Caenorhabditis elegans: one gene and its partner. The protein of the gene in region 1 interacts with the protein of each later gene in a biochemical or structural test. Each region holds a gene or a part of one and is shown on either strand. Other genes may lie near its edges.

What was found. The genes of interacting proteins can lie anywhere in the genome.
Region 2: of the proteins of ckr-2 (region 1) and nlp-12, one has a biochemical effect on the other in vitro, tested with the Caenorhabditis elegans proteins (2 studies listed by BioGRID, with this or other methods).

The regions. Positions count from the first base shown.
Region 1 is NC_003281.10:2,016,494-2,024,944, forward strand, and holds the start of ckr-2 (G-protein coupled receptors family 1 profile domain-containing protein), read right to left. Parts: upstream 5,087-8,451; coding exon 4,974-5,086; intron 1-4,973.
Region 2 is NC_003279.8:1,841,763-1,846,372, reverse strand, and holds nlp-12 (Neuropeptide-Like Protein), read right to left. Parts: upstream 2,990-4,610; 5' UTR 2,967-2,989; coding exon 2,912-2,966; intron 2,833-2,911; coding exon 2,774-2,832; intron 2,717-2,773; coding exon 2,588-2,716; 3' UTR 2,414-2,587; downstream 1-2,413. Other genes in the region: tag-96 (Galactokinase), read right to left, coding at 1-30, 1,056-1,152; emr-1 (Emerin homolog 1), read right to left, coding at 3,287-3,397, 3,450-3,700, 3,775-3,913.

The DNA of each region.
Region 1 (8,451 bases):
GAAAATGAGGAATTAAAAGAGCGGAAACTATCATTTCTAAGGGTCAAGAATTACAGAAAAGAGCTTTAAAATGTGCATTGGTGGCCTTTAAAATATAGTTTGAACTTTTGGGAAATGTTGGAAATTTTTGAAAAAAAAATTTTTTGGAAATTTTTTTTTATTTTCAACTTTCAGGTTTTCCAAAAATCCATAACTTTGTCAGGTTTTGAATTTTTTTGCTAATTTTTGTTTTAAAATGTGTTAAAATATTTTGACCAATCGAAAAAGTTATCAACAATTAAGGTTCTTCACTAAAATCGGTAGAAATCAGAGTTTTCGTGGTGGGACCCAAAATACCCCAAAAAAGCACAGAATTTCTGAAAATTGGCAGAGCATAGGCATGAGTATACTTTTCTGAAAACTTAAAATAAACTAAATATGTTAGAAATAATATTTCAGACAAAATAACAAAAGTTAGAAACAAGATTGAGTTGAATTCTGAAAAATACTGAATTTAAAAATTTTGGAAAAAAAACTTTTTTTAAAATTTTTTTGAAAATTCACAATTTTGCCAATTTTTTTGATTTATGCTATTTCTTGACTTCAAATGTTAAAAAATTATTTTTCCATTTGAAAGTATAAAATAAAACTACAAAAAGCAGCAGAACCAAAAGTTCGAGTAAAGAATAAAAAGAGTTGCAAATTTTCGAAAAAAAAATCCGAAATTTTCGGAACTTTCAAACCAATAACTCAATTTTCCCATACTCTATTGTGAACCTAAAAAAAAACAAAATTTGTTACAATTTTTTCGAGAAACTGAACTTTTGACAAGATTCTTCTGGAAAAAGCCATGTTTACACTAACAAACGGGTAAGCTTAAGCCTGTGTGGGGAAATGTTTATTCCAATGCTTTTAGTGGAAATTTCGAAGTTTTTAGAAACTTTGGATTTGTGCTCAATGAGCAACATTTGAACTATTGGTCACTTTTGGTGGGATAAAAAATTATCGAAGAAAAACTTTTTTTTTTGGATTTTTTTTTTCAAAATGGTCCCAAAATTTGCAGAATTTCATTTTTTTAAATTTGAGTTCAAAAATGTGTTTTCGCTAACCGAAAGCTTTCAAAAAAGTATAATCATGAATGTTGAATTTGATGTTGAATTTTTCTCGAAAATTTTGGGTCCCGCCACGAAAACTCTTGGGGTTACTGTAGAAAAAGAGTTACTGCGCAAAAATTATTTTTCTCGACTTATTTGTGAATTTATACTTCTTTTATGGTAAAAAGTTAGCGAAAAATCTTAAAAGTGGACTTTTGGCGGATTTTCGAAAATATTGAAAAAAAAAACTATGATGGAAAATTTTAAAACTACAGTAACCAAAACAATATCGCGTTGGGACCCAAATTAATTCAATTGTTGTATTCAGTACATCAAGAGCTTCCAAATAAGCTCCATATCGCCTAGGTTGGGTTATTTTGCTTGAAAATTGAAAATTCGGGTCTCGCCACGATTTAAAGGCACATTGAGGGTTGGATTTTTAAAATGGTCGGAAAATATTCGTGATGGGTGCCATTTGAAAGCTCTCGGTGTGTTGAATTTGAAAATTGCGGAAATGAAAAATTTTAGAGGAATATCGAAATAAAATAGTTTGAAAATAATTTTCAAAATTTTTTTCTTTAATCTCAAACACAACTTTTTTTCCAAAATTTTGAATTTTTTTTTTGAAAAAAAAATTCAAACAGCTGTACAAATCCTACAAAACTAAAGAAAAAAAAATTTAAAAAAAGATCTATGTGCTAAAAAGTGGGCGGAGCCAAAGATGGAAATTGGAAAATTGGGCGAACTCTCAAAATTGGCTGAAATTTTTGCTCTTTTCTGGTTTTTCGTCGGGGTTTTTTCTGTAAGTTCATTTTTTGTTAAAAAAAAGTTATTTTGAATCGGTACCCACGCAAATTTTTAAATTTTGGAAATAAAAAAAAAATAAAAATTTCGAAAAAAAAAATTCGAAAAAAAAAATCAGAACCTACTTAAAACTGCAAACTTTCTTAGAAAATGTCGTCACACACACACCCTCACCTCCTCTTCTCTGAATGGGAAATGGCCGGTTAAGTGGCGCAGGGGACACACGAAGGTGTCTACGCGGTGAAGCACCCCCCGCTGAAAGTCCCCTCCGAAAAAATTCGGTTGAACACGTAGAGAAATATGTGTTCTATGGGTTAAAAAGGTCAACGGGTTTTTTGTTAGAACAAAAAGTCTAAGAAATTCTGATAGTTTTGACCTAGTTTTCGCACTTTTGAAATTATTGAAAAAAATTGAAAAAAAAATGTTTCGAACATTTTCGAAAATTTGTAACTTTGTCCGTTTTTGAGATAGTACGGAGATTTATGGCTTAAAATTTTCAGAAGTATTTGCTCTCTTCACGATAAATGCAAAAAACCAATTCTGCGTTCAAAATTTATGAATTCTCAAAGTTTTCGTGGCGGGACCCAAACTTTCCAAAAAAAAAAAAAAGATTAAAATTTCTTTTTCTTTGAAAACCCATTTGCTTTTACTGCTAATAGGCCCCCAGTATGCCTAGCATGTCTAGGTTAAGCCTAAAAATTTTCTAAAAATTTCTAACTCCATGCGCCTTTAAAACGTGGTGAGGCCCTGAATTTTGGATTTACCGTAACCTAGGCAATATGGATGGCATTTGGAAACACTCAGTCTGCTTGATTTTAAATTTTACGTTGAAAAAATAGCCTCAACACAAAACTTTTCGAGTTTTTAAGTAGTTTCTAAGTTTTTCAATTTTTTTTCAAAAAATGTTTTTTCGAATATTTTCGAAAATTCGTAACTTTGTCAGTTTTTGAGATTTTCGAATAAGGTTTGACTTATTACGTGTATAATTATTTTTTCTAAGCGTAAAAATTACAAACAACTAGTTTCGAATACAAAAATCGGTAAAACCTTAGTTTTCTTTGCGGAACCCAAAAGTTAATTTTCAAAATATGTCGAAGCTTTTCAAAACTCCGTAACTTTGTCAGCTTTTGAAAATTTTTTTGTTTCTTATTATTTAAAGTTTTAAATAACTAGATAAAATTAGAAAAATAATTTTATAAACGAAACTACAGTAACCCGAAGGGTTTTCGTGGCGGGACCCTAAAATATCATAAATATGTGGGGAAATGTAATATGGACATGATGGGGGTTGTTGGAAAGGTTTCAAAAAGTTAAATAAGGTGAAATAAACAAAGTAAAAATTTCCAAGTTTAAAAAAATTTTCGACCAAAAAAAAATTTGTTTTTCGAAACTTTCAAAATTCTCCAAAACTATCACAATAATTATTTATGGTCCCCAAGTTCTATAAAACGTTGCAAAAACGGCTTGAAAAGCTCAATACGGGTGAAACGACGAGTTAAGCCCTTGTGACGGGGGCTAGCGCGCCCCGTGAGAAGCGAAAGATTAGCGCATTTTCTTCAAATTTTCTCGACTTTAGACGAGTAGTGAGGATTCAGAATTTTCTTTAGAAAACTAGAAAAAAGAAAAAGAAGAAGATACGGAGATGTTATTGGATGATTCAGAAAATTAGAAGGGGAGCAGGCGTGAGAGACCTTCGGCGGAAAATACGATCAGATGTCTATTCGAGTGCAATTTGTTGTGTGTTTTGAACGTCTAGAATATCATGGAAAGTCTATAAAGTAATTAAAACCCGGAAACTAGTTGTAAATGTTTTTTTGAAAAATTAAAAAAAAAACTTTAAAATTTTTCAAAAAAAATGTTTTTTCAAATTTTTTTTTTTGAAATTTGAACTTTTTTTCGAAATTTTTGATACCAGGGCTTTCAAAAATTCACAACGACACCCATCTAGTCATATACGCCTTTAAATCGTTGCGAGACCCAGCATTTTAAAAATCTGGCAGACCATAATTTTCCAAAAAAAATCCAAAAAACTACCAAAAAAAGAGGAGGCAATTTTCGAAAATTTCAGCCATTTTCCAGTACAGAGTTCAAATATTTTCCAACACGAAAAAAATTTTTTTGTATATTTTTACAGTCACTCTTAACGTTTTTGTGGAGGGAGCCTGGAAATCTCAAAAATACAAAAAATCCAAAAAAGTATTTTTTCTAAAAATTTTGGAAATTTTCCGATTTTTCAAAAATTCATAACTTTTTCAGTTTTCAAGTTTTTCAACTGATTTTTGGCTTTAAATTTGTGAAATCTTATTGGCTAAATGTTAAAATTAACTTTTACACAGTAATATTTTTTTCTACAGTAGCCCCAAGAGTTTTCGAGTCGGGACCCAAAATATTCGATAAAAATTAAAAATGAGCAGAACATAGTCATGTTTATACTTTTTTGAAAGCTCTTGTTAAGCTGAAGCACATTTTTACTTTGAAACAAAATTCTAGAAATTTTGGAACAATTTTTAAAAAATTATTTTGAAAAAAATTCTGAAAATTTTTTTTTAAGTTGGAAAATTTTTCGATTTTTAAAAATTTCATAACTTTGCAATTTTTCGAGAATTTTAGATGGTTTTAACCTAAAATGTGTAAAATTTAATTGACTAAATGCTCGAATTAATTTTTACACAATAGAATTTATTCTACAGTAACCCCAAAAGTTTTCCTGGTGGGACCCAAAATTTCAAAAAAAAAAGTTGTTGCAGTTTTTGAAAACCCATAACTTTGCCAATTTTTGACTTTATTCAAAGATTTTAAAGTTACAATTTGTGAAAATTTATGGCCTAAATGACAAAAAAATTTTTAAAGTCAATAGGTACAATACTACACTAACCCAAAGAGTTTTCGTGGTGGGACCCAAAACTTTAAAAAAAAATTACGAGACAAGCCGGAATTTTCAGATATTTAAAAGCTAGCAGAGCCTTTCCGAGATTTCTCAGAATCTGATGATGTTTTCCGAACAAAAATCTTCTGTTCCAGTAACTCAATCAACTAATTTTTGATCTAATTTTCGGCGGGAAAAAAGGAGAAAAAAGGAGAAAAACTGCCGCTCACTTGCTGTTCAATGTCCATATTGGCGGCGGTGAAGTGGCGTTCAGAAGCTCCAAAAATGACGAAGAATTCATTGTATCATAATTGGTGATGTTCTCATCGTCCGCCGCATTCATAATGGTGTTCCTGAAAAAATTTAAAAAACTAGGGATTTTTTGGAAAAAACATTTTTTTTTGCGAATGAGGAAGTAAGAAGGGGCAAGGGAAACTGGAAAAATAGTAAATAAAAAAATAAAATACAATTGGATTAAAAAAATTCAGTAAAAAGTTAGCGAAAATTTGAAAAAAGTTGTAAGGTTGGGAAATTAGGAAAAAAGCTTTTGGAAAAAAATTTGAATTTTTTTAAATTTAAAGTTTAATAATGATAACAAAATGTTACAATCAATTTTTTAGATTTTTACAAAAAATAACTCAAAATTAGGGTCCCGCCGCGAAAACCACGAAAGAAAAATTGAAAAATCAAAAAAAAAATTATTTTTTGAAAATTTGTGTCTCGCCACGAAAATTCGTGGGGTTAGTGTAGAATGGATTTTACTGTGTTAAAATTAAATTTAGTATTCAGCCAATAATATTGCACAAATTTTAAGCCAAAAATCAACTGAAAATCTCCAAAACTAAAAAAGTAATGAATTTTTGAAAATCGTAAAATTTCCAAAATTAGAGTCCCACCAGGGGTGTGCGGCAAATTTGCCGAACTTGCCGAATTTGCCGTGTGCCGAATTTGCCGAGTTCGGCAAATTTTGAAATTTGCCGCACACGTCAAAAATTTGACAGGGCAATTTTGACTAAAACCATTGATTTTTTCGCCAAAAATTTAGTAAAATGACACAAAATTGCGTTATTTTGATGCTTAAGCAGACATACTACACGGAACTTATTCAGAAACCAGATGAGTGTTAAGATCTCAGTAGTTTTGGTGTTCCAAAAAACATCAAAAATTATCAAAATTTTCCGAGTTTGTTAAGCACGGCAAATTTGCCGAATTTGCCGCACACCCCTGAGTCCCACCACGAAAACTCTTGGGGTTACTGTAGAAAAATATTGCATTGTCTTGAATTATTTTTACAATTTGAAGTATCATTTGTCGTAAATTTTGAGCCAAAATTAACTGAAATTCTCAAAAATTGACAAAGTTACGGATTTTCAAAAATTAAAAACAAAACTGACAAAAAATTTTTCGCACAAAAAATTTGTCTAATTTGGCAACAAAATGAGAAAATTGATTTTAGAATAAAAAAAACCGACATTAACGTTTTGCAGAAAAGTGAGCAAAAAGAGCAAAAAAGTGGGAGGAAATTGAGCAAAATTAGCTTAGTTAAGGGTCTATGAGCCGCCAGGAAAAGGGAAGTAAAGATGGGAAAAGTGATATTAGATGGCGGGAAATTTGAATTTTGAAGTGAAATTTAGCAAAAAATTAATTGCAAGTTAAAAATGAGGAGAATGGTGTAGTTTGAAAATTAAAAAAAAAAATAAACCACACTCATTTTTTAGTGTACTTAAATACATATTTTTGCAGTTTTCAATAAATTTTTATGTTCAATAAAACAAATGGATAGGCGTACTTGGAACCAGAAACTTTTCCTGAAAAAAAATTTTCATTTATTTTTTTTTTCAGAAATAAGTTTTTTTTTTCCGAAAAGTCGAAAATTAAAAAAAATTAAAAAAATTTTTTTTATCGAATTTTCAAAAAAAAAAACGATTAATTATAACCTTCCGGAAATAAATTGAAATTCCTAACCAAAAAAAAAAGGAAAAAAAAACGTAAAGTAAATAATAATAATAATGATGTGTGGAGGTGGTAGTGAGAAAGATGAATAGATGAAAATATAAATGGGAGGGTGGAAAAAACTGGAAAAAATGGAGAAATTATAAGGAAAATAAGGAAAAAAGCAGACTGAATTTTTATTTTCTTTGAAAAAAAATTCCAAAAAAAACTTTGATAGTTGTAGGCTTAGGCTTAGGCACAGGCCTAAGTTTAAGCTCAGGCTTAGGCTCAGGCTTGTTTTTAGGCTTAGGCTTAGGCTTAAGCTTAGGCTCAGGCTTAGGCTTAGACTTAAGCTTAGGCCTAGACAGGCTTAGGCTTAGGCTAAGGCTAAGGCTTTGGCTTAGACTTAGGCTTAGATTTAGGCTCAGGCTTAGACGTGGCTTAGAATCAGGCTTAGGCCTAGGCTTAGGCTTAGGCTCAAACTTAGGCTTAGACTTAAGCTTAGGCCTAGACAGGCTTAGGCTTAGGCTAAGGCTAAGGCTTTGGCTTAGACTTAGGCTTAGATTTAGGCTCAGGCTTAGACGTGGCTTAGAATCAGGCTTAGGCCTAGGCTTAGGCTTAGGCTCAAACTTAGGCTTAGGCTTAGATTTAGGCTGTGGCTTAGGTCAGGCTCAACCTGGGCTGGGCTCCAAAAAATCCAGAAAAAAGGAAAAACCACAAAAAAATCAGGAAAAATTTGAGATTCCGAAGTCGGGTCAAAAAATATCATAAAAACGGCCGGATATTAGTTTTTTTTTCGAAATTTTCTTTTTTTGGTTTTAGAGTTTTTGAATTTTTCGGGAAATCTCAATTTTAAAATTCAATTTTTTTAAAAGAATTCCGAGTATTTATACAATTTCTTTTCAACAAATTAATTGATCACTAATTTTTTGATAAATTTGATTTTAAAAAATGAGAAAAGTTATTCCTTTAAAGTTTTCCAAAAATTCCAGAAAAAAATTTCAAAAAAATTTCCACTTTTTTTACATGTATGTATTCACAAGGGACTTGAGATGATGATTGCATGTTTTTCAACCGGGAAGTCCACACATTTTTCGTTTTTTTCTTCTTGTATTTTTTCGAGAGAAAGTGTTAGGTGTCCCGGGGATAACAGGAAGCAATCTGGAAATATCTAGAACTTTGGGGAGAAGCTGGGCAAAAAGGATGCATTTTTTCAAGGTGATATGTAGTGGTAAGGATAATAAAATATTATGCAGAATTTTGATTTAAAAAAATATAAAAAATTGAAATTTTGAAGAACAAATTTTTTTCGAAAAAAATTATTTTGCAATTTTTTGTTTTCAAAATTTGTTTTCAAAAAAAAACCTCGATGTAGGTAAAATTTCACCAATTTTTTTCCACTTCATTGCACTTATCACACCCCAAAAGTCCACATTAACAAGTTCTGAAGGTCAAAATCTCAGCTTCACCCAAAAAAAAATTCCAAACCGAAAAAAAAGTAGCAGACGTTCAGCCACCAAACAAAAAAAAATGACGAATTGTCACGGAAAAAGAGGAAACTTGCCATTATACTTACTCTTCTACACTCTACAACCACAAACTTTTGACAGAAAAATGACGAATTCAGGGGAGAAGTCAGTTGGGTCCAGCCACGAAAACTCCTGGGGTACTGTAGTTTTTAATGTATTGAAAACTAAACTAGTTTTATTAATTAGAAATTGGGTTTGTGAACATTTTGAAACAAATTTTAAACAATTAGCTTGAAAATTGATGAAG
Region 2 (4,610 bases), on another chromosome or scaffold:
CACCATAGTCATGGTAATCGATATGCTCGCCTGGAAATGTTACGGTAGCTGCACATGGTGTCAAAACTCTCATTTCTGCTTGATCTACGTTGATCTACAAAAAATGCGGGAGAAGAGAAGCAAAGTTCTCAACTGATTTCGCATAGTGAAGAACGTGCTGACGTCACCTGTTTTTGGGAAAAAAATTCCCGCTTTTTTTTGTAGATCAAACCGTAATGGGACAGCCTGGCACCACGTGTAGCTGATAAAATTTCATTCGTGCCAAGACCTAAGGCAGCAGTTTTGCAACTAAACTTTCATTTTTCAAAATAAAAAAGTGTCATTTTTCTCTCAATTGTTTCAAGTTCCTATGATTTTTGCAAGTCTGTGGTCAGTTAACCATGACGATCTATGTAGGCTCGTGTACTCCCCGAGGAGAAGATTTAATTTTTTGTATTACATGAACACAAAATTCTGAGAATGCGTATTGCACAACATATTTGACGCGCAAAATATCTCGCAACGAAAACTACTCTTTAAATGACTACTGTAGCGCTCTTGTGTCGATTTACGGGCTCAGGTGAATATAAATAATTTATTTATCGATAGAGTACTGAAAATCGGTTAAAAATGACCAATGAGCCGCTAAATCGACACAAACGCTACAGTAGTAATTTAAAGACTTACTGTAGTTTTCGCTACGAGATATTTTGCGCGTCAAATATGTTGTGCAATATGCATTCTCAGAATTTTGTGTTCCCGTAATAGTCAAAATTTCAAATTTCAAATTATCTTTTATTTTATAAAATACAATTTTAGGTGTTTGAGGAGAAAATCTATAATTTCAACGTGTCCCTGATACCTGAACCCTGATAGGAAAAAAACCCGGGACTTTTAACACTTTTTGGGTCCTGGCACGATTGAAACTTCAAAATTTTGAGCTACCGTAACCGCGGAAATATTTCGAAATGCTTTTTATTATTTTTAATACATTTTTTATACAGTAAAGCAAAATTTCCAGAGAAACATATATTTCTGCGAAAGTTTCGATCGTGGCAAGACCAATAACAACGTACCAATCAAATTAACACGGCCCGGACACGTGACACGAACTTCTGGCTCAATACCATACAATTTGACGAATTGCTCGGCGAGCTGCTCATTTGAGACCATTTTTAACGAATTTCTGAAACTATATAATAGGAAATTGGAAGTTGTAGAAAAGACAATAGGGGCACCACCACCTATAACAAACAAAATAATATTTATATGACTGTCTGCGTCTCTAACATGTTGACCATACTCTGTGTTGCCCGCCGCCACGTGTTGCGTGCATGGTGTACTGGGAATCTGATAGATAAGGGATTCGATGATGTTCAGTACGGTCTGCGCCTTTGAGGATTACTGTAGTTCACACATTTTCTTATTTTCGAGAAAAATCTATTCAAATAAATACCAAAATTTTTGGACAAACCAAATTTAAAATATCAAAACCCATGTTTTTTTTAAACAAGTGAGCAACGAAAATTTTCGAATTACAGTAATCTTTAAAGGCGCACATATATTTTCGCATTTAATGAAAATGTGTCGCTTCGAGACCGGCTTCAGCATTTTTTGAAGCAGAATTTCTCATCTCGGTAATATGCCTCTTTCTTGACGTTTTCCTAAATTTTTGTCGACAAATTCGACAAATCGGCAATTTGCCGATTTGCCGGAAATTTTCATTTTTGGCAAATTGCCGTTTGCCGGATATCAGATTTGCCGGAAATGTTTAGAGGAATTTTTACAAGACGGAAACACTTAAAACTGTGTCATTTTGAATTTTTTCCCGTTTTTTAAAGGATATTTTCATAAAATTTGCTTAATTTTCAAAATAGATGTAGGAAAATTCATAGGATGCGTTTAATTTTGCCATTTGAAATTAAAATTCCAAAATTTCCAAAAAATAATAAAAACAAAATCACAATTTGCCGAAAATTTTCGGAAAATTGTTGTTTTTCCGGCTACTTGCGGGTTTGCCGGAAACTTAAAATTCCGGCAATTTGCCGATTTGCCGGAAAAAAATCGTTTACCGCCCACCCCTGAACTACAGTACTCCTTAAAGGCGCACACTGGTTTGCAAAAAGATAATCTAGACTGGGTCCCGTCACGGCTCAGAGTTTTTTCCAGAATTTTCAAAGCGAAATTACAAGTTTGTGTTAGTAGCTTCCATCGCGACGAGACCCAGAATATTCCACAATAGGTCTCACCACGAAGCAAAATAGTTATTAATTGCCGGCGTGGCGAGACCCACAGAAACACGTGTTGTCAGGCTGTCCCATTACGGTTTGATCTACAAAAAATGCGGGAATTTTTTGCCAAAACACTCTGCAAAGAACTCTGCGTCTCAACTCCCGCATTTTTGTAGATCTACGTAGATCAAACCGAAATGAGAAAAAGCTTTATTCAAAGTTTTTTGTTTTGATTTTAATTGCAAAAAAGAAAAGAAATTCTTCAACAATAAAATGATTCATTGGCGACTGTCTCTGTGTTGGTTATTAGAAAAAAATAAATCGTTCGATTGGTGGTTTGGATGGCGGAGCAGGGAAAAATAGTTAGACGGGGTCGGTTATTGCCATTCCCAGATTGGCTCGAGCACAACTGGTCCAGAGCTGCCGCTGCTTCGCTTTCCGAACTGGAGAGGCCGATAGTCGCGTTTTCCGAACTGCAATGGACGGTACCCATCTCGCTTGCCGAACTGCAATTTATGTGTGTATAATATTTTTAACTTTTTTTAAAATGTCTTGTTCCCTACCTGAAGTGGCCGGTAATCGCGATCCTGACGGTCAAACGTCGGCGACTGTGTTGCAAAAACTGTAAAAAAAACGGAAGTAATTTTTAGAAAAAAAATTGGCCTAAAAATTGGCCTAAAAATAGTATTAAAACGACGAACCCTCCACGAATACGAGGATGAGCATGAGCAGGGCGCAGCTGTGGTGGCGGAGCATTTTGTCGGAGGCAATTGAAATAAGTTTCGCCGAGTCGAGGTGTCGGGCTTTTATACCACCCCCCCCCCCATCAGTAAACTACAGATTCGTCATATTTCCCAACGGAGCCGGGGGGACCACGCCTTTCCCCCCTACCATTTTGGTTAGCTTCTGGAGTTGATGGGCTCGTAAAAACTGAGAGAGAGATTCATAGCGTTTATCCAAATGAAGTGATGAAAATGGGGTGAAAGGATTTAAAGAAAAAGAGTGATGGGGGAGGGAGAGGGGTAAAAATAGCGATTTCAACAGTCAAAGAAAAAAATAGAAATTTAAAAAATAATTTAAATAGTATCCTCCGGATTCGTCTCGGCCACGAGCTTCAACTGCTCGGCGTTCTCGATCAAGAAGTAGGCGAAGACGGCGATGAAGACGAAGAGAATTGTGAATGTGATCTGGAAAATAGAAAATAAGTTTTTATTGCCAGAAAAAGGGCGAAAAACTCACCGTGCTTCCCAAGAATCCTCCTTTGTTGCTCTGAGCTTGACGAGCCGATGCCCGATCGGCGGCCATTTCCTCTTCCGTCAAGTATCGCATCGACTCCTCGCAATCGTCGCTGTCCGATTCGGGAGAGGTAGTAGCTGCCGCTGTTGCAGCTGACACGTTCTGGAAAACTCGTTGTGGCGGTGATTTCTTCGGTGACGAGCTGATGATCAATGAATCCTCGTTGAATTGAGAGTCGTTGAGATTTGATTGATCTGGAAATTAGAGGTTCGAAAACTTTAAAAATGTTATTTAGAAATTAATAAATAATTTAAATTCAAATCCTCACTGTTAATGCTTCCGTCTGATAACTTGATAAGCTTCTTCTCGTAGAGCTTGCGGGTCGTCGCCACAATTGGCCCAACAGAAACCCCGTGGCTTTTAAGGCTATCGCGTAGTTCGGCATCTGTCAGCTGGGAGACGTCCATTTTTTGTGAGATGGTCTGGAAAAAGCAAAAAATGACAATTTTCAAGCAAAAATTGAGGAAAACGAGCGATTTTCTACCTAAAATCTTGAGAAAATCGTTTATTTATTGAACATTTTACCAAAAAAATTAAAAATGCCCATTTTTTGTGAGATGGTCTGGAAAAGGCAAAAAAATGACAATTTTCGAGCAAAAATTGAGGAAGGGCGATTTTCTACTTAAAAAATGGTTTATTCATTGATTTTTCACCGAAAAAATGAAAAATTCTACAAAAAACTGATTAAAAACAGGAGAAAATGAAAAATTATGAAAAAATAATTTCAAACCCAAGTCAAATTGGCTGAGAGACAACGCGACGGCGAGAGACGCAGAGTGGACGGGTCTCGTCACGATATCGCTTTGTGTCGATTTACGGAGGAATTTCCAGCCCGCAGATTTAAATCAATGATTTTCGCGCGCGCTTTTTTTCCTGAATCATGATTCGAATCATACATAAATAAAATACGGAAAACGAGGTTTTTTTAATAAAGTTTCAACCATTTCTTTTTGTCCACAAAACATTTACATAAAATTAGATCAATGTTAATAGAAATAAATATGAAATTAAAAACTATCGCAAAAAGTCGATACAATAATGGGGAAGAAGAAGGGGGGATGGTGTGTGGATGGGGGATGGTTTTTTTTTCGGTTGAGAAGAAGA